2 linked regions of the Drosophila melanogaster genome follow. The protein of the gene in region 2 interacts with the protein of the main gene of each other region in a pairwise test. Each region holds a gene or a part of one and is shown on either strand. Other genes may lie near its edges. The genes, in order: Clp and Mst87F.

Region 1 (5,686 bases), on a different chromosome or scaffold from region 2:
TCTGTGTATGTATAAATCGATTCTAAGTAATAATTTGTTTAGGTTGTGTTATCATATGGGTGTTGTAGCTTAAAAGATCCTCCTCCTCCTCCAAAGCTCAGGCCTGTTGCCTAGCCTCGTTGGCCTCGTAGGCCTCCACCTCGGCGATGTTGGCCAGGTCGTACTCGATGACGCCCTTGCCCATGAACTCGGCGTACTTGGCTGACTCCGGCAGCGGATCAGCCGATCTCTTCGAGACTGTAATGGGTCGAGGAATGGGAATGGATCAGTAAGTTGCTGGCACCTGTAAGACATTGCTACTCACCGCCTGAGACGAACTTCTCCATCATGTAGACCTTCATATCGAAGCACTCGTTGGCAATCCGCTCCGAGATGAGCGAGACATCGGTGATGCGGGGCATGACCACACGCATCTGGCGCCGCACGCGCTCCGTATCTATGTTGTAGTAGCCAGTGCTCATCTTCTTTATGAGATCCACAAAGCTGGTCGGGGGCAGGGTCGTGTCCCGATCCAAGGGCATGATGAAGCACCGTCCGGTGGTAGTGTCGATAATGGCCGACTGGTTCTCCTTGAAGTCGTGCATGAAGCGACCACGACGTCCATCCTTGAAGTCGGGCACGTCCACGCGTGCGTAGCCCTCGTCATCGCTGTCACCGTCCAGTTCGATGTCCTCGCGGAAGTGGCTCTCGTCCAGCGATCCACTGTTGGGCATCGGTTGCGCGAGCTCGGGTAGCAAGGAGCGCCAGTTCAGGGCGAACGGTTCCACGGTGCGCGGATATACCCGCGCCATCTCCATCGAGTCCTCCGGATAGGGGATCTCGCACAGGGCGTGGTAGCGCATGCTGCTATGCGACGGAGCGTACACTCGGTACAGGGTCCATCCGCCCAGGACACCCAGGAGCATCACGACTACGGCGATCAGGAACAGCAGAAAGGATTTGATGCAATGGTGCTGCGGCCGGTTGAAGACCATGGATTCCGCGTCGGCTTCATTATCGCTGTAAGCAACCTTGGGCTGTGTGTGGAAAATGGGGGGTTTTAAAAATATGGGATACTCCTCTAAGTGTCACTTGCAATTTTGTAGGAACAACAAATTGCAATGGAAAAGTAGCAGTTTTATATACAATCTAAAGTTATCTAAAATGACCGACTTGTTATATCTGTTTCCTTATCACCCATTGTTCCAGTGGAAAGTCATAAAAACGACGATAAGTCGTAGAAAAATACAAATAGAAGGCAGTTGACTGTAATGTTGATAGTGGAAGTTCCACAAGTCGAAAGGTTTGAGCTTGCTGAATATTAATCACACATTTATATTTTCCGCCAGCTCAGCAAGATAATTTTTCACTGCAATGCCTTCTCTTGTTCTATAAACAATGCAATTGCATTGCTAAGTCAAAATTGTTTCGAAAGATACGTCGTTAGCGAGAGATTAGTCTAAGGAGGGGTCAGAAGAGATCCCCTTGCAAAAAATTAATCAATTGAAGGCATTTGCATGCACTAGAGTGGACCTTATTCGACTATGTAGTGCATAACTCATATGTAAATGTATGATTGTATATAAATCTCTGGAAAATTAGTGATATCTACACTAAATAAATAAACTGCAGATGGGCAAATATGCTGGGAGATGGGAGATGGGAGCTGGCAGCTGGGAATGATTGTGCTTATGACCAGCAAGCTGATAAGACACGACTTTCTCTGGATACCCGTGCACACGAATCGAGGTCAAAGTGCACAGTGTCAGCAGCTCACAAAGGGCTGCAACTGGCACCGTAAGTGGCTTTCCCCAGCCGTCAGGGCCAATCTCCACCAGCAACAGGAAAACCCTTCGCGCTGACCTCGGGGAGCGAGCGAGCGAGTCCTTGGCGCGGAAAGCCCAGGAAAGTGAATGGGCACACGTCACTTGGAGTGGAGCAGGGGTTGCATGCGGGCAGGGGGGTAAGGGGAAGCACGGGCCACAAGGACACCAAGGAGTGCGGAGCTTGGTCGGGGAAAAATCGATGGCGAGCTGCTGCTGCTGAGGCTGTAATTCGGAATGGATTCCGAATCGGAATCAGCACCAACCACCCACCCATCACGAGACTTGTGGCTCTCGGGCCGCAGGACGAAGGACACGGTGGCGGGCAGGGCGCGAGGGATGGACAAGGACATAGCACGATTGCGCAAAAATAAGGACACATCCCGCAGATGCGATGCCAAGCAAAACTCACTGCGATTAGGGAGCCATGGTGCATGAGCGCCTCGTCGTTGAGGTTCATGGGCAGGGGCACCTTCTCCTGGTCCGTGGGCTGTCCCCGCAGTTTTCCCAGAATTGTCATGGCTGCTCGTATGCTGTGTTCTTGATGCCTCCGCACGACCAACTTGTTTGTTTTTACTGAAAATTTAGTGCGCAATTGTTGACGAGCTGAAATCTCGATCCAGACAAGCCAGTGTGACCAGTTCTAATTCGCCTTTCAAAAGATGTGGACAAAAGTGAGGCAACTCTAGAGTGGTTGCAAACTTGGAAAAGACGATTCGCCGCCCAAAAATTCGAAACTTGAATCCGAAAAAAAATTGTGAGGCACAAATTGTTATCTTACAAACGAAAAAACATGATACATTTATATTTTTGGAGAAAACCCAAAACATACAACTAAACTCCCTTCCAAAACGAATTGCTTACTTGTATCTTATGGAAGTTTATTTCGCTGATAACACAATACGTTCTACTGGCAGTTCTAGGGACTTTTTTCAAAAATGCAAATGAGTTTCTTAACATACACTTTAAACACAGAATGATTGAAACGTTCGCCTGCGGAAGTTGGGAACCTACGACCTCTGGACTACACAGCGGACTATGCAGACCGCTTTCGACCTTTATTTCTGCACTCTTACAGTCTAATCATACAGAGCAGAGCGTCCTACTTATGACTATGTTGGTTAGAGAGGAAGGCGAGGTGACCCTTGGGACACTTGTTCGCGTAGTGGCCCTTGTTCCCGCACTTGTAGCAGGTGATCTCCTCCAGGGGCGTGGGCACCTTGACGAAGCCGGGACCATGCGGCTGACTGTGGTGATTGGATTGCATGTCATCGGCACCCTCGATGTGGCCGGAGTGTCCAGAGTAGCCGCCCGAGTGTCCGCCGGAGTGATCCATTGCGTTGATATTGTTGCGATGCTCCAGGCTGCCCACATACTGCTTGCACGAGTTGGCCTTGTGGCCCAGCTCGCCGCAATAGTGGCACGTGGGCAGTTTCTTGTGCAGCTGATCCTTACCCAGTTCCGCCAGCGGGGGCAGCTCGAAGTGCGGATGCATGTGCTTGCAGGACGGGCCCTCGGGGCAGAAGCCGGCTAGGTAGTCCATGCACAGGACACGGCGCAGATGCTGGTGCCGGCAGTGGGGACCGTGGCGGCAGAAGCCTCTCTTGTACCACGGACAATCCTTCACCTTGCTCTGCGGGTCGATGTGCAAAAAGGGACACTCTTTGTTGTGGCAGGCGTTGAACCTCGAGTAGAAGTAGCACTCGGGCATCTTGGTCATGTCGTACTCGTGCAGGAACTCGCACTGGTCGCCCTTCTTGCACAGTCCTCTCAGCCAGTGCTTGCACACGATCGTCCGGTCCCCGCGAATGTGTCGGAAGGGACAGGCGCTCCCTTTGTCGCACTCCTGTCCGTTCCTGGTGATGAAGTTGCAGACCGCCGCAATGGACTTGTCCATGCCGTAGAACGGCAGCGGGATGGCACCCACCTGCTCGATGAGGTCCCGCTCCGCCTTGAACTGCAGCCCACTTACGTTGGCCAAAAGGATGTCCATCTCTGACGGATTCGCGGATGCTCGGATAGATGAGGAAAAACTCCGAAATCTGGTAAACAATGCAGTTTCCTTCTTCTTTTTTTGCGCGTGTTTGTTGTTTCAGTGCGAATAGTGCTGACACGCAACCGGCGTTATCGATATCGATAGTTCGCAAGGCAAGACAGTCATGGCCGTCTAGCTGTTTATTAGCCAAATCTGTCCACTTCAGGGAATAGATATTTGTATATAAATATTTTTAGTCTCCAAATGTTTTTAATTTATAAGATTAGTCATAGTAAGAAAATACTTGTTTTTATGACCTTATTTAACTAAACCGCCATTAATAACATTTTAGCTATTTAGCTACAAAAGTAAGTTGATATTGGTCAGCACTGTTGGCGACTAAAGTATTACATAGAAATTAAGTATCCGCCCCGTTAGTGTTGCTGATAAAAGGGCTTATCTACAATGAACGAGCCAGTTTCAAAAATTTCACTTACACAAGAGCAACACTTGAATTGCTTCGAAATTTAAACATTAAACACTGAGTAAATTCGATAATGAACCACCCCCGCCGCCAGAGGCCGATAGTCAGCTGGTATCGATCACTTGTTTACAACTTTTCGCAATGTTTATAACGTAAGCAATCTGCGTGAAAAGCCATTAGTTAATTTGGGAGCGAGGAACTGAAAAATGAGGAGCGAGCGCCGCTGAAGAACCCAACCCGACCAACACCCCACGTAGTCCACCCACTCCAAAGGTCAAATGCTGCCTACTTACGAGCGCTTCAGTGATCCCAAAAGCGTCCTCTTCCGGCTTCCCTTTGCGCGACTGGCACTGGTGGCTCTTAGTTTGCCCCTGGGAGGCTTCTTCTTCTGCGTGATTTGGTCTCTGACCTTTGACTTCGTTAGGAGCACCTACACCCACTGCGATGTGACCAACTATCTGCCCTCCGTCTCGGCGGCCATTGGGAACTATGAGCCCCAAAAAACCGTCTGGAGACTGGCCATATTTCTGCATTTACCACTCCGTTTGGCAGTTGCCAAAATCTACTTGGAGCACTATCGGGAACACATCCGCCGGAGCAGAAGATTGCTGGGCATCCTGGCCTGCTTCTTGAACGTCGTGGAGGATCTGGCCCTCTTCTGCTTGTCGTTTTGGACCTCTGCGGATCATTACGAGACCCACAGAAACGCATTTGTGGTGTTCATTGCGTGTTCCGAGTGCTATATGCTGGTTTCCTACCTGCTGAACAGGAATATACAGAAGACCGTGCTCTTGCCGCACGAGGAGAAGTCGCTGAGGTACAAGAGAAATCTGTTCTTGGTGAATGTGATCGCCTTTGGCTTGGCAGGATACTGCTTCGTGAGGCACAACTCGCATTGCGAGGCGGGAGGTGAGTGGGAATCGGTTGTGAGTCCACTATTGTCTTATAATGAATCTTTTCTATCCACAGTCTATACTTTCTTCGCGTTGTTCGAGTACATCGTGGTGCTGACCAACATGGGGTTCCACATGACCTCCTACTGGGACTTCTACGCCCTGAATGTGGTGTGTGATGCCAAGCACGGTCTCTACCTATCACAATCGTAGACCAATGAACTAGATCAAACCCAGCCTGCGCCGCCATTTCAGCCAGCCAGTCGTCCTCGAGTATTGTGTACATACGCGGTATTAGCTTAAGCTCAATGTTTACTTAATTTTACCAAAAGGAAATTGCTTACGAGGGATTCCGAGAGGAGACGATTCAGTATGACAGGATCTGATGCATACACACGCTTTTAGCTTTAGGCTCTAACACGATTTTACACCTAAAGGATCTAGTTAAATTCGAACCGAGTTCCATCATTATGTAGTGCATTATTTATACACATACTCATTTAGGAACAAGGCTTCAATAAGGTTTTATTTT
Region 2 (17,150 bases):
AATATATTTTAAATATAAATTGCAGTTTTAAATCTAATCAAGCCTTTTATATCTTATGGGATTCAATTGGTTCAATTGGTTGTGTGAAACATATTTCTAAATGTCTTATAATAACATATGACAAATTTTTTGAAAATTTGCAGGCCATTTCGCCCATCTCTTCACCGAAATGATGTGAAGTTCTTGAAAGGAAGAGTCTGTTTTCAGCACTTTCTTCTCCTCCGTAGCGAAGTGTGAATTCTGGAAACAAACTAACCCCAAAACGCTCGGCAAGGGTATACAAATTAAATGAGCAAACGAAAATCCGATTCCTCATAACCGCAAGCAGAGAACTTTCTAAGTGAAAGTTGGCCGGGGATGGAGCTACTAGAAAATACTGTCGGTGCCTCGGACTCATCGCCCGACTTTTAGTCAGTCATTCAGAGTGCGACGGGATGACAGACCCCTTCAGTGCCGCCCCCGGATCCAAGTTCCAGCTCCAGCTCCCAACGTCCCACGAGCTCCACACACAGATATTCACTCACACACACACACTCACGCACACACGCATACTGGCGAACGTATAACTTGACCTACATTTGTGCAAGACAATAACAACGAAAAAAAGCAACAAGACAATACACACATACAAAACAAAATAACAAAATTTACACACAACGCTCTGAGAAATGAAAAAAGAAAAGGCAAGAAATTTCCAACGGTACATGAGCTGCTGGCCGGGCCTGAATCAATGTTTATATTGTATATGAATCGCCAGGGCTTCGGAATCGGGGTATCAACGAATTCGCTTTTCGATTCACAGGCCTCGCTCACTGGGCTTTGTTTCTGCCCAAAAGTTATTATCGTAAAATTGATTTCATTGAAGTAGCTGTCTTCGTCATCGGATCGTCTTGGTTTGGTCGACGCTTTTGCACACATATGTATCTGTATCTTGTAGTATGTATGCTATACATCGCTTTCTGGTACACTCCGCTTATGTATGTATATTGATAATTAGGCGAAAGGTGAATAAACCCATTGGCTCGATGCCGCCGCTCCGCGTTCAATTTACACATTTTTGGTATTTTGGTAAAAGAAATCGAGTCAGCAGACTGCAGCCCATGGATCGGCGGTTCCGCATTGGAAAACGCTAGAAGACACCACAAATAGAAAGCGACAGTGGAAGTCAAGTCAATCTGGGACATAAACAGCTCTCTGGATGATTCGGTGGTCATATGGGTCTTCATTGGGGAAATCTATAGTTTCTTATTACATTAAAGAAATAAATGCTACCTTTATTATGAAATACAATTCAAAATCGACAAACATGTTTGTAGTTATCTGCAGTCATAAACAAAACAAACAAGAAATTATAAGAGTTATTATTTATAGGAGTTTATATATTAATGAGATTTCATTGTACTAATATTTTCTATTTGGGAAGTCAATGATGTTGGAATAATTATTTTAAAATAGTACAATTTCAATTTAAGCCTATGGCATCCGAAAATTAAAAAAGCAAGATCGATCGGCTTGTTCCATCGAATTTTCTACAATTTTCCTGTCACCATCTGGAAACTTTACGGATCCCCAATCACCTCCACCAATAATTGCATTCGAGTAAAGTCCACGAGCTGTGCAACAAAAGCTTCTCTTTCACTGACGTTTTTCCTCGAGCGGAAGAAACAACAACTGAAGCCGAAAGATAAACAACAAACAAGCACTCTCACTGCTTTTGGGGCAACTCGAGGCAGAAAGGGTCAATGACATGGTCCAATTTCCAGAAGACCGAAGACTGCAGAGAGATGACTGTCTCCGTGTCGGCGGACATCTGCTTTCCGTTGTTTTCAGTGTAAACAACAGCACCCCAATGAAGACGACAACGTCAAGAGCAATGGAACGCGCAATCCGCCAGCGAAAACAAATTCAATTCACTTTCTATTCCAATGAAAAATCGCTCAAAGCTCTAGCGGCGTCTTGGAAATGAAAACAAAAACACACACACAAAATCAACAACAGTATCAACGAAAGTGGTAGACCAACACCACAACTTTGGTCTTGCTCTTGGTCATACAACCCATTGATCTTCAGTCGCTTTCAAGTGGGGTAAACAACGGAGCACGCCTCATCAACAGCAGCAACATCAGCGCCAACGATTGGTACACAGCGCGAAAATCGGGGGTGCCTTCAAAGCAATTCGTTTCATCAGGGAGGTGAATTCAATAGTGCAGATCATCTTAAAAAATATTAAATATGTAGTTATATCAAACCTATTAACAACTATGGAATTTCCTTTAATATATACACCATTTTGTGCGATATCCTTGAATCCTTTTGGACCTCTCCAAGCACGTCCAAATTCTTTCAGTGCGTCATTTGAAAGCGACTCTCAAACTGTTGTTGTCTTTTTTGGCTTTAACGGTTTCCGTTTTTTGTGTTAGTTGTTGTTTGTTTGTTCAGCCAGCAGCCACACTTGCTTGTTGTTGTTGGTTCATTTGAATATCTAGTGAAAATTTCACCCAGACAAGTGCCTTTTGTTATATATTCAGTTTCAGTTTCATCTCCCTGGGTACCTTCAAAAATATGATAGTTTCTCCTAATTTGCAAATATTTCTTTTTTCTTTCAATTTTTGTTTTTTTTTTTGCAAAGCCAACACAGAAAAAGAGAGAAGATAAATATTGAAAATATTTTTGAACTTGTTTCGCATAGTTTTGCGGCGATTCACGTGTCAGATTTAACATTTCGGCTTAATCTGGCCTTAGTCATCAAGTGGATTACATTTGATTCACCACAGGGCGTATGCGCAATATGCAGGCTAAATGGGTCGCTTGCCTTTAAAAAACGGCATAGGCGGGCGTTTTGGTTTTTCCCCCGCACTCAATGCACAGACTTTGGCCCGCGGCCAACAAGAACCCAGGACTTAATAGGCCAACAGGGCAAAATATGCAACGTGGGGCACGTACGTTGGATGCAAAAATGGCAGAAGGTGGAAAAGCGCAGAATGAAAAGTGAAAAGTTTGCCAGCGGCAAAAGAGACAGTCGCGTTGAAAATGTCTTGGACTTGGTTTTGCCAATTGCAAATTACGTGCCATAAAAGCCAACAAATGCTGACGGTTGGTGTGGGCCGTCTTACCCTCTTTGCTCTTCAAAGCCCATTCCCATTCGCATTCACATATCCCCCTGCAAAAAAAAAAAAAAAAAAAGTCACCCACTCACTTGGCCACTTTCACGTCTAATGCCAAAACACGTTGCAATTTTCATTGCTTGGCACTGACTTTAGGCTTGTTGGCCAAGTCCAAGTTAACCAATTGCGCAGCCAGTGCCATTTGGCGAGCAAAAATATCTAATATCTGCCAGCGTTTTGTGTACTTACTCGCTGACGCCTGTTTTCTGTTTGCAGCCACTATCAGTGACGTCAGCAGTTGGCGGAAGGAGAGCTGGTGGGGTGGCGCAGCACCTGTGCAAACCTGGCCACTTGGCAAATAAATTGCGTAAGTCGCTGTTCCTCAGTTTTTTTAGTTTCAGTTTCAGCATCAGCATCTCTACACACGCTAACGCTAGCCCACACGCCCACTGGGGCAGCTAGATTGTGTAATAGAAATAAGCACATGACAATTAATTAATAGCACCCAAAGTCGAACTCACGCGCCTACAGTTCGCCGTAAAATCAAACGAAAATAACTTCGAAAGCAGCCAAGTTCGCCGTTTTTGCGACAATTCAATTAAAAAACTATTACACATTGTTTTTGGCCCTTGAATGGGGTACATTAAGTACCAGCTGGAAACTAAGTACATATATGTATCCTCTTTAAATCAAATGTATCATTTTATAGATAAAGATATAGATTTTTTAAAATGATATTTTTCCCTATTGAACAATGCAATTTAGTATAAGAAGATTGTAGATACTTCCAAGTGGAGATGGGAAAGTGAATAATCAGCAAGCCAATTGTGTTTTATAATCTGAATTTGATTGCGATTTATTTATCTGCTTACTATTCATTTCTTTGATAATTCATTAATTATTTTAACATTATATCCCGCCATTAAACAGTATTACAAGCCCATTAGTGTAATACGAATTCGACCTGCTGAAGGTGTCGGCATAACTCATAATTGTTTTATATGTAAAAATATCAAAGTATTTGGCCAAAACAGACAGAAAGAGCTCTTAAGCTTGGAGCTCCCCAGACGGCAAACGAAACGTGAGCTGGCCAAAAGACACAAGCACACACACGCACACACACTGTTACCAAAAGCTGGCTACCTGTGTGTTTGTACACCTGTCAGGTGGGCATACTCTTGTATGCCTTTTGTTTTTCCCTTTAATTTGTTTTTTTTTTTTTTTTTTGGGCCTGAAGCTGAAACCAATCCATCTAGCGCCTCCTCTATCAGCATAACAATTAAGCTTAAATACTTTTTGCTCACTGACTGGCCCCAAAATGGGATTATTCACACTTGATTAGAGGCATGTGAAAATGTATATTCGGTCTTATTTTTTTATTTGGGGAGCTTCAACCTGCATGTTGGCTATCAAAATTCATTCAAAACCACAAAATCCAGAAGAACGAGAGCTGGTGGCTACGTGACAATATTTGATGGCACACGAGCGTAGAGAAAATCAAATGCAGATCAAAGAAGACGAGAAGATCGCTGCTGTAAATGTAAATGTAAATGTATTTCGATCATTAAAATGTTAATTTTGATCTACGTATCCATAAGATACAAGTGTATCTCTCGAGTGAGCTTTCAATGCATTTCGATTGGAATATTTCCCACCTTGTGGGCACAAAAAATGTGAATTCAAATAGACGAAACAAATAAAAATAAAACATAAATAAATACGCAAACACACTTACACAAAGCGATCGAAAGAGACGGGGCTATGGAGCCAGCATAGCAACATACAACAAAAATAAGTTCATTGAACTATTTGTGAGCTTTTTTGTTGCTGTGTGCATGAGTGTGTGTGTGTATGTGTGTTTGTAGAGGTGTGTATCTGTGTTTCTTTAGTTTTATTCGTGGATTATGGTATCATAGCACATAGCTTCTTCTTCGAAAGGTTTTCGTCTGCCGCTTCAGTTGATTTTTTCTTTTTTTTTTTTTTGTTTTTATTTTCATTTTTTGTTTGAGGTGTCATGTGCTTCTTTTGGGTCTTGGATTTCGGCCTTTGTTTGCCGGCCATCGTCGATGGTAATGTAAACTTTTATAATGAAATTAAAATTGATAGCAACACTCAACTGTGATTAATCACACTCATAAGTGGCTTGGGAAGTTGGCCCTTTTTCTGCCAGTCATTGTCCATCCCGGGATGGATGCCCGAAAACCCAGCCCCGATTAACCCATTACTTGCAACTTGCGAAGTCGCGACATTTAATTCGACATAAAAAAGGGGTGCGACCTTGAGACTACACATTAAATGCAAGTCCTCTGTCTGAATAAATCGAGATTGAAATTAAATCTCAAACAATACGGGCATTTGGACCGAAAGTATTCCTATCGCACTCATTAAACAGGGCAAAACTCGTCTGCTTGCTGGCAAACAGAATGCACTTAATTAACTTAGCTTCAAATAAATTACGCTTGCGAAAGTGTATTTGTGCATTTTGTATCCGAATAGTCTTTGGACCAAGCCAGACGATCCCTGGCACATTACTCTTATTTTTATTATACTTCTTTGTTGCACAGATTAGCACCAATTAATTACTGTATCGTATTTTAAGCGAAACAAGTATTTCGCCTTGTTTATTGTTATCTCCCTGGGGACTCTTATCTTATTTTTTTTGGGAAGAAATACAGCCAGAAACCGGAATATGACGTAAATCGGGGAGCTAAAGGCAATTACATGGGAATATTTTGGAGCTGAATGATCTAGTTAGCGATCATTGCCGATTAAATTAGAATAAATAACAATTGCATATTTATTAACAATAAGCCAGTTGAAATCATTTGTTGGAACACTTGCAATCATTCTCAATTTGGATTAAGCAAATTAGTTAACAATAGATACTAATAATAAAGCAGTTCTGGGATGAATGCGCAAAAAAAATTTGCACACGTTGGGCATATTATTATCTATTTCTCTTCCAATTTAACGTTAGTCGAAAAAAAATATTAATTAAAATATCATGAAATTTAATTTAATTATTAAGATTTATAACTTCCTCTTTCGGAGTCACTAAGTTGACATTGCACATGCCCAAAGGCGTTTAATGCACAAAATGCGCCGCAGACGCACTCCCCTGCATTCCCCAAAAACGCCGATACTCCCCCATTGTTACAGTTACCACCTACGGCGAACAAAGCCTGTTCGCTGACAACATAAATAAACAATTAATAATTTAGATATAAATTAGAATAAGGCGAGGAACAACACCAGTTAACGCGGCAGAACTCGTGCCACACTCGACTTCGCCTCAAAGCCAAGTTCAATATCAAACAACACGCGCTGTTCGCGAGCTTGAGATCAGTAAGCTCAATGATCGGATCGCATAGTATCGCCTAGTAAAGTATCTGAAAAAGACGCCTAGTCATAGTTACACACACACATTTATATCACTCACTTACTCGATATCATGCCGATCTGATGGAGAACAGGAAGCATTACGGAGATAAAAACGCCATAAATGGCGATTTGCAATAAATCAAAATTAGCAGCATACAACTTTGGGCCAAAACACACACGCCCTTTTGGCCGCGGCCAAAACTCCCCGCCTCCCTCCACCGACCAATGTACAACCGTCTCACTCTGTCGCTAAGTGCAGGCTGCAATCAATGCCGTAATAGCAACAAAAACAACAGCAATAACAGCAATAACAACTTCCGTATTTCATGCGCTGTAATTTAGCTCAAGTAACAAAATGCAAAGCCAAACTAAATGTTGACGGTGACGCGACGCTGAAACTTTTCAGCTGAGAGCGGGCAGATGCACTGCGCGAAAAACGGGAGTCAAAGTTCGATTTGATTTATTGAGAGTTATGTAAAATCTCAGGCTTCTCAAATTTGATTAAATTTTTGTAATTATAAACTAATGATTTCTTTCTGTGCATGAATTGCCACATTTTTGAAATCAATCTTTTAAATACTAACGATTTAAGTTTAATTCATGAATTTCATAAATGAAACCTATGAAATATAATATTGACAATGTAATACTTAAGCATTGCTGTGATATTGCTGATATGGTATATGTTTATGTTTTGATAGTTCAATTTCCAACCCAACTCTCTTCAAGTTCCTAAAATATCAGATACTTTTAAGCATCGATTTTTTTTCGGTCTGCCATCTGTAAGCCGAATCGAGTGCAAAGTGGCAAGCAGTAAGCTGCAATCGAATACTTGCGGCCCAAAGGCGACTCTTAACACGTCTGCATTCGATGGCCAGCCACTCGGTGCGATTTGAGTCGATTTCGTCTTTACATACAAATTGACATAATTTGTTTATAAATGTTTATTGATCGACTGCTGACCGGGCCCAGACGCCGACTGTTGACTATTGGCCATTGTGCAAATACACAAATAATATGCGAAGCGAAAGAGAACATGCTAATGCAGATATCAAAATCCGCACGAACCGCTGACATTTGCTGCCGTAAATTGAGATACTTAATGCACCTGGCCAAGACAGGGCAATTGTTCAACATCATTTGAGGCAATTTATAAGTATGTGATATTAATTAATTGATTAAACGCCGACGCACACGATAATTCGATTTATTTACAAGTCCAACTCGTTGGCAGAGTTCGCAAATCCAGAAAATCGTGCGATTAGAACTGGATATGCATATCCTTAACTTTTTACTTGTATCATTGTAGAAATGTTGAAATTATCGTATTGATTGCATAACACACGAATCATCAGCGAGAACAAGAAGAAGAACCGAAATGAGCTGCCGGGAATATTGGGCAAAAAATAATAACAAAGGGGAAAAAATTAATTAACATATTTTTTTTTCTAAGTTTGACGAAAGCCATCCCAGCATTTGCATATAATTAAGGGACTTGGTGTACGTAATAGCATTAAAGTTCGTAGATAATAGATGTGTCTACTTAGAAGAATTTAGTTTGTATAGTTTTTTACGAGAATCTATAAATAGTTACAAGAAAATTGAACTAAGTCGTATATTTAGCTTTTGTTAAAATCATTTTCAATTTATAGATGGAGGATATAATGCTATATGCTAAGTTCTAAAAAAAAAGGGAAGTTAAAAAGGGATAAGTACTTTGAATAATTTAAGTAAGTGTTCGGCACACTTTCCCAAAGTTCTGGTTTTGCCCCTCCGAATATATATTTATACACTCAAACAGCTCGAAAAAAAAAAACAATACCCAAACCCAACCCAGTTGCGATCAAGTGACGCAAATGAAGGCACCATAAATTGTATATATATATCTGTGATATATCGAAATCGATATATCCCGGGCAGTACCTGTACATACATACATACATAAGTGCATTATTAGCACTTTCATGGAACTGAAAATGGAAATGTCAAATGGGCGCTGGACTCGGAGTGCGTAGAAGTAATAGACTGGCGACCAAAGTCGAGTAGATCGGTCATATAGATCGGGCATATACATACATATGTACATACTGCTGGCTGGCCTGGTCATTACAATTATTATTACATATTAACATTGGTAGCATTCTTACATACTTAATACATTATTACAGTAATTTAATAACATGTTCTCATGGTCAACCTGCTGCCCCGGCGGAATGGAGTGCCAAGTGGATTCCATCCGATCCGATCCAATCCAATCCGATCCGATGCGAGTGCTGGAGTATCGCCACGCTGCATATTTTAAAGAGCTTACATTGTAGCCAAGAGCTAAGAGGCAAGAGCCAAGAATCAAGAGCTGGACCACCGCCAACAACAACAACAGGAGGTCATAATGAACGACACTTTACGGGCAATCCGGCAATCCGCTCCATTGATGGCTCAATGGGGTTCCGATCTATTCCAATCCTCGTTCCTGGGTCAAATCAAATGCCCCGCAGATACAGATACACAAACAGATACAGAGACGGATTCAGATACAACCATCAAATATCACGATTTTCAGCTGTCACCCCGAGTCGCCTTAGATGCGGATGCGGACATTTGAGATAGCTTCAACTTGGTTCGGCATGGCTTGGCTTAAATTCGATTGGATTGAATTGGCTGGTGGAAAGTGAAAATGCATCGGTCTAATTATAACACGTGATTTCATTGGACGCGCATGATTTATGCGCAAGTGCAAGTGCAAGTGCACCAGATCCAGATCCGGCAACAACAATGGCCCACAAGCTGATTGGATTCGGATTCGGATTCGGATTCGGATTGTCTTGGGGGATGCATAGAGCTCAAGTTCAATGTGGAAGCGGCTAATCCGAGACGCCAGACAAGGCGAACCCTTGAAAATGGAAGCGCCTCACTCGCTATCTAATACAGGGTGGAAAAAGCTCAAGTCGTAGATAAAAAAATATTGAAAGTTAATTAATTAAATTTATAAATTTTACCAATCAAATTGTACACTTTAAGTTATACAATAAATTCATTAACTAAAGTATAACTTTCATAGTTTTCTGATTCAAATGAACTGCTTACAGTTAGTTACCATATCCGACGTAAAAGATTACGAAGTTCCATTTGACAATTGGCAGATATTTCTCGCGGTGTAGGGGGCCTCCACCATGCATCCGATACGCCTCTGGACACCCAAAACCGCAAACCTCGACGTGCAAATGTCTATGCAAATGGGGCACCCTCAGCACTTGGCATCCCCTCGCCATCGCCCTCGAATCGTCGGCTTTTGCACAAACAATTCCATTTCGCTTTTAATTTCTTCGCGCAGCGTTTTTCGTGTGTGTTTGTCAACTAAATTGGGTCTAGTTTATGCGGTTTTTATGAATCTGACCTTAGTCATGATCATGAAACGCTCTAAGCTGAACCAATCCACTTACTCACTGGGTTGCAAATAGGGCATGAATGGGGAAACTCAGTGCCAGTTATCCAGTGAAAAAAAGAGCCTGGAAATTGGATAACAAGAGCAGGAGATTGGATTGGGGTGATTGTGTGAGCTATAATAATAATAATATAAATAAATATGTATAAATAATACATGCAAACTTGACAAGGAGGAATCTAAAAGTACATAAAATGCACACATTGTTGTATTTAGAAATATTTAAAATTAGATGTCTACGGAGTAAGTTGCGTAATTTCAAATCTTTCGTTAAAACTTAAAGGGCTGACACAAATTGACTTCTGCCTTAATTTAATGCGAATATTTTAGCCCACAATGACAGAAGCTAACGAACCTAAATCTTGTTTGATTGATATGAGTTAAGTTCCCATACTAATTCGTTCTTTGGACCGATCGGAAAACCGTGTGTATTGACACATTTGCTGGCGCGGCTTCAAACAAGCTCTAAATCAAGTTCAAAGTCAAACTAATTATCGGCAATTTGGCTAATCAATAATAAAAGCAGCTAGCTAGCAATACATAGAAAAATTCCCCCGCCCAAAAAGACATATGAAACATGTTTGGTTTAAGCTGGTGTTTATATTTAGTTTCGGCGTGTTTTTTCGACGTATTTTGGTTTGCGCCGCCACAACAAAGCGCTTTGACCAGCCAAACTACTTACACCGACTGTCTACAAGAGTATCGTCCCACACAACACACAAATAAATAATTTAAGGCAAACACAGGCAGCAGCAGCAAATCAACGCGAACAGCAATATTTTGGCAGCGAACTTGTTTGATTTGCATAAAGTCGCACAAATAAAAACGATGCAATTAAAAAGGCGCGCGCGTAGATCCAGTCAGCTGATGATGGTTTCGGATTGGCTGGAGTTGGCCAGAAATATGGCCAAAAAGGGGTGGGGGGGGGGGGGCGGTCATCTCCAGGGGGATCGGATCGGCGACTGGAGACGGCGGCATTCGGGTAAATTTAAATATATTTTTTATATGCACTTTGTTGACTTTTTGCGCTTCGCCGTCGTTTAATACCGCTCGGAATTCAGGAATCGGAATCCGCTGTGCCGAAACTAGTTCGTCGCAGAATTAGTGCAGTAAATATACACAAAAGTAAAATAAAAATAAAAATAAAAACAAAAACACAAGAACATGCATGACTGTGTGCGGGTTAAATATGTATGTACCTGCTTAAATAAGTTTTATTTAGCGTGTTCTATTGAAAGGACAATAAACTCTCGGCGAAACGTCAAGGTCGACCACATCGCATTAGAAGACTGCGGATCGATTCTAATTCAGGTCGCATTTGCGTCTAAACATCTGTATCTGTGTTCTAAAATCAGATATTTGGCTAAGCAAATTGCATTTGACTATTATCACTAATCAAAAACCAAACCTTCTTGAAGCTTACACCTCATATTTATTGTCTCAAATACCTATATTTGTGGTTCACGAATATTAGATGAATACGAGGATGAAATAGGGATAGGTTCTATCCTATCGTCTTGGTGTTCTGGTGAACCCTTCTTGGACATGGCCAGTTGCAACTGTCTAGCAGCAAGGGTATCCACAATAGCAGCCGCCACAGGGTCCACAGGCATAGCATGGTCCGCAGACATTCGGTCCATAGCAGGGTCCACATCCTCCTCCGCATGGTCCGCATGGACCACAGCAGGGTCCGCAGCAAGGTCCGCAGCAGGGTCCACAGGGTCCGCAGCACATGATTAATTCGTAAAAGTTCTGAAGGGAGAAAAGGTACGTTTAAATGATATGCCATAGGAATTTTTTACACATTTTCATTTTTGTAAATTTTCACTTATTTTCACTCACTTTGAACCGAACAAAAAGAAATAATTTGAGACTAGACGACAAATTTTGATGTGTTCAGGCCGAAAGGACAAATAATAATGATACAAAATCTGGTTACGCACAGGTATATCGGTTTGACAAGTCGGACTGAAGAGGCAAAGGATACTATATAAAATATTTTGTTTAAAGCATTGGCTAAAGCTTATAATGATTGTATTGTAAGTAGGGAAATGCTCAATCTTCATGTGAATTAACCTTTATATTTCGATCCTACCTATGTAGTTATCATCCAACTTGGTAGGAACGCATCAAGTTGCCACTATTTTTCCAGTGCACTGTAACATATAAACGAGGTAAATGAGATTTAAATTTTTGTTTTGTCGGATCATGTGTTCATTGCACCCGGCTGAAGTTCGAATCGCTGCCGGTTCTCAAGTCGAGTTCTGCGCTGCACTTTTGTTTACTCTTGATTTTGTCGTACTTTTTGATTAAGTGCATGGCGCATAGCCGATTGCCGATTGCCGAGAATCCGGGTATCGGGGCTGAACGGGTATACTATATATGCAAGTGTATATTAAGTTCATTATCTGACCGAAGACTTGTGTTGCTTATGTTTTTTATTTTGTTTTTTCTTGGTTTTTTTCCCCAGCCGAATCGAGCCAAGAATGTCGTCGCATTGAAAGAGGTCAATCACCAGCGATTGCGCCTTGGATGTCACTCGGTGTAATTGAGCGCAATTTATTTCATTTGCTAACGATTTTACGATTTCGGATTTAATTAACTCCCGAAAAGCAGGAAGCCTAGTGGACCAGTTGACAGAGCTCGCCAGCCTCCAAAATGGAACCCTAGTGTTATACACAATGATTATACAATGATTTGTATTTGTGCATGACTGAGTCAGCCGGAGCATTCGGGCAGAAAAGTATGGGTTGCAAATAAAAAGCGCATAATAGGCGTTTAAATGCAATTTTCTTCGCAAAATGGTCGGGCGAAATATCAAAAATTCGAATTATATGTTTTGCCGCATGTTGATTAGAATGTATGTATGTATTTGTGTGTGTGTCGATCAGCAGAGGCAGAAACCGAAGCAAAAACCCCGTCGTCAAACCGCACAGAAGTCCTCTCCCTTCTAGCAGAAATATTTGGGTAGAATCTCGCATCCGAGGAGACGGACAAGTCCAACTCAAAGTCGTTCTGTTTCGGCACGGTGAAAAATCACTATCATAGAAAAAATATATAGCGTAGTGACGAAAGGCGTCTCAAAGAAATGTGAACAAGAGTAGAGTAAGATATATTAAATACAAATCTAGCTTATATTACAAAGTGTCTAATATAAAGTGAATCAAACTTAGTTACATAAATCTAGTAGCGAACTTAGTGACGAAGCGCGTCTCAATCGAATCGGAAAGCGGTAGCAGATTTTAAATAATTATTTTCTTACCACCTAAATGTGGTTAAATGACTTTCATTGAATTTTTCTCTCTGTGGCTCTCTGGTTTTTTTTTTTCAAACTCGAGATGGATGGAACTCTGGTCAATAATTTTGTGAGGGTGCCGCCAAAAGGGCAGCAGACGCTGCTCTAACTTAGTTTTTTCGTTCATATTTGTGGCTGGCCTTTGTTTGAAATAGATTATTGGCAATACATATGTATACAAATATTTTGTATTTCGTCTGGCGACGGGAGTTCAAGGATTTTTATTGGGTTCAGTGAACCAAATGTCTTTCCTCCGGCCGGAAATATCGAATTCGCTTTAATTATGGCCCCTCGCATCAACTTATTAATATAAGTTTGATGAAAAGTGAAACACAATGGGCACACGCAGATGTCATCATCATCGGCTGGAAAGCGCTGAGTACTGCCAGTCAGCCCAGGGAAATCAATATCCGCCTATCCCTAAGTGTGCGCCATAATGACTTTAGGGGCGTGGCCGTCAATGGGGCCAAAGGTGAGGAGCGACCGAAAGGGTAAACGGCGGATTCAGGTAACCCGAGAAGCCGACGAAAGTGAAGAAAGCACGTGCCGCCCCCTAAAAAGTGGCAGCTGATCGCTAAAAAGGAAAAGTAAGGCGCAGTTCTGAAAGTCGGATATATGTACATACATACATAGTACTCTGATGTTAACTTAAATATTATTTAGATGTCTAAATCAAAGTTGAAGAATGCTGCAGCTCGTTTTCTTGCCGATCAATTTGAAGGTGCACAGAGGAAACCTGAGAATCCAATGGAAAGTGGTAATGGTAGTTCTGGGCACGTGCCGCCCCCCGAAAAAGGATTCAGCTGCCTTGAAAAAGGAAAGTGAACGCATCGTGTCGCCATAGCGATGCGATACGATCCCAACCGAGTTGAGATCGAAATCGTAGGATTGTGGAAGTCTGAAACTGCGATTGATCGTGCGACATGGGATGCGGATGAGAGGCAGTCAGAAATTCCTAAGAAAATGGAGCACACACACAAAAAACGCAGCACGCAAAAAAAAGGGTGGAATACAATATAATAATAATAAGGAGCAAGGCAGCCGAGATCTCGTATTATTTAATTTGGAACTGGGCCGCTCTTTTCGCCCATGTTTTTCTGCACCGGTATCAATGAATCGAAATGAATTGAAATAAAATGAAATGAAATGAAATGCGAATGTCTCGATCGCGTGCGGCAACATTTTCACAGATTTCAGATTTCGAGTTTCGAGCTTTTTGCCCCGGATTCTGATTCTGCGTTTTGATTTGTACCTCCTTTTGATCGTGCCTCGTTTTTTCTTCTCCTTTACGAAGTTTGTGTGTAATATCGGGGGTTGTGTCTTGTGTTTAGGCTATAAATGGCATATTAATACATACTTGTGTTTAACCCTCGAGTGCCTAGGCGGTATTTCTGTGCATCATATCATTTTCTCTAGTGATATCTGCCACAGCTCATCCTTAGACGAATACATTTAATCCTTTAAATAGTTGTGTACATACTCAGATAAAATCGCCATCAAAATATTGAAAAAATGATAGCTACAAAAGTAAATTCTGACAAATTGGTAATGAAATATTCAACTCATTCTTAAGAGCAGCTTGCTAGGTGGGTTAATTCCCCATTTTCTTGCCAAATTTTTCGACCAATGCGTTTTTTATTCCCCACTCAGTTGATGACTAATACGCATGCAAGTTCCGCGAAAAGTCCGCCCCCGCGCCCCTCTGCATTCCACAGATAGTTGCCAGCCAAATTGCAACTCAATTATAAATTGCAAAGGGGAAAATGAAATGAATGAAAAAAAAACCAGGCGAAGAGCGAAACCGAAACCAAAGCCAAGAAAAAACCCAAAACAGTCGCAGTGTAAAATTGTAGCTTAGGCAGCGCCAAAAAATACTAATTTATCTGCGAGTTTCGCATGCTAACTACCACACACACAAGCGCAGAAGGAAAAAGAGCTCGAAAACATCAATGGAAATGCCACGAAAATGCTAGTTGAGCTTTGGAAAAACCATGAAATGTGCGAGTACGAGGAAAATCTTCCGCGTTTGTGTAATGCAGGAAGATTTTCCATGATGTTTGTTTTGTATTCGCTTTACATTTTCCCCGAGCTGCTGAAAGTACATATGTATATGCACGCTTGTAAGTTTTGCAATCACTGGAAAAAAAATAGGGCATATAATTAAGGCAATTCCAGGTATCCATAGGTATTATATTTCTTTAAAAAGTACAAATACAAAAGTTGACATTGTGGAAACTCAAACAATCAAGCGTGTTATTGAAAATTATTCAGCATACCTGTTTTTTTCAGTGCTTTGACAATTTTCCGTGGGATTTGCATGTGGCGCCAAAATATCTGTAGATCACCATGTCGATTCAAACGAATCGATGGTACGAATCTGCTGGAAAAGCGCATCATCTTCTCTGGATAGCTTGAGATATCGCAGATGCGAGATGGAAGATCGCAGTTCGCAGATCGGAGATCGCGCATATTGATGATCGAAGATCGAAGATCCGAGAGCGAAAGCACAAGCTCTGTGCGAAAGAAAGCAGGTGAGAGCGTCGTCCGCTCGTAAAGAGCTCAAAACATGACACCCCAGATGGGCCGCCAGCTCGTGGGGCGAAGGGTGAGGTGGGGGGGGGGAGCTGTAGCCGGTCAGGGGGTGGTCCGCTGGTGCGAGAGGGAGAAAGAAGCGAGGGGTAGGGGACACCGTGCGAAAGTGAAATCGAACCTTCGCTGCCGGCGTTTGCGCTTTTAAGCAGCAACAAAAACAACTAAGCCGGGCCGGTTTCAAAGTTTACGAGAGGCGCGACTGCGCACAGTGATTTAGAATAAAAAAAGAAATAATAAAAATGGTGTTAAAGGCGTACGTACACGTATTTTTTAATAATATTTACTTAATATTTAGTGTATTTCTAGGAATTTTTATAGATACTTTAAGTTTCATTATTCATTTAAAACAAAAACACTAAAGAAGATTTAATAATAAAGACTTATGTAGCAAAATAATACACTATGATACACTGTGCGCCGGAGAATTGACTTTTCACAAGTGCAGAGAGTGCGCCGCTGCTGGCTTTAATAATTAATAACAAAAAAAAAAAACGAATTTGTAAGAGTTTCGTTATTTTTACAGGCGGTGAATGAAAATCCGTTTCGGTTTTAATTTTGGCTCCTGCTGCCGGCAGCGCAGCTTTGCTTTTTGGCCCGGTCGTTGATCTTTGTCCGACTGGACTTTCGTCACCAAGCGTTTTGCATACGTGAGCGACCGCTCACTGACGCGCTGGCCGGGCCCCAAATCCGCGAATTATAATTACCCATCGATTGCCGGGTGGGTGGGTGACTTTTCCTGCGATTCGGACGCACTTGCCAAGTGCTAATTACGGACAGGATCCTTACTCGGTCACAGTCCGCAGAAATAAAGATGCAAAGCTCGTCTTTAATATTTGTTGGTATAAATCGTATGTCTTAAATAAAAAAATCAAATCAAATGCACCTTTTGGAACATTTATAAACTATAAAAGCTTAAAAACCTTGTGGGCATGCCAATTTAACCCATCTAAGGGTTATAAAATCACAAGTATTGCACATGACCAATAAGGCATTAGACTAAAATGTAAGTCTTATGCAGGGGCATACCCTAGTAATCATGTTGCTTTTCATATAGTTTCAATTATACGTAGACTTACTAATAGTCCTTACATTTACAATGTATATTTGGAGTGTGAAAATCTTTACGATCACGATGTCCAGAATTTCCCCTACCCTTTGGGCAAAATCATGATTGTGTCGAGCAGTTCCAGGGGCAATTGGCAATGCAAATCAATTTTCAGATCTTTGCAAATATGCAGCTTTAATTAGTTAATAAGTGGCGCTGACTAGCAGCTGACACCGTCGCGACATGGCCATGGCTTTGGGTGCTACCATGACTGTTGGCTATGGCTATGGC

The links.
Region 1: the proteins of Mst87F (region 2) and Clp interact in a two-hybrid assay, tested with the Drosophila melanogaster proteins (2 studies listed by BioGRID).

Annotation. Positions count from the first base shown.
Region 1 is NT_033779.5:818,188-823,873, reverse strand, and holds Clp (clipper), read right to left. Parts: upstream 3,911-5,686; 5' UTR 3,796-3,910; coding exon 2,905-3,795; 3' UTR 2,665-2,904; downstream 1-2,664. Other genes in the region: CG3662 (uncharacterized protein), read right to left, coding at 98-237, 305-1,016, 2,215-2,322; PGAP2 (Post-GPI attachment to proteins 2), read left to right, coding at 4,540-5,170, 5,231-5,367. UniProt on the Drosophila melanogaster protein: Component of the cleavage and polyadenylation specificity factor (CPSF) complex that plays a key role in pre-mRNA 3'-end formation, recognizing the AAUAAA signal sequence and interacting with poly(A) polymerase and other factors to bring about cleavage and poly(A) addition.
Region 2 is NT_033777.3:13,815,810-13,832,959, forward strand, and holds Mst87F (Male-specific RNA 87F), read right to left. Parts: upstream 12,200-17,150; 5' UTR 12,023-12,199; intron 11,878-12,022; exon of another isoform or gene 11,770-11,877; intron 11,680-11,769; 5' UTR 11,662-11,679; coding exon 11,491-11,661; 3' UTR 11,342-11,490; downstream 1-11,341.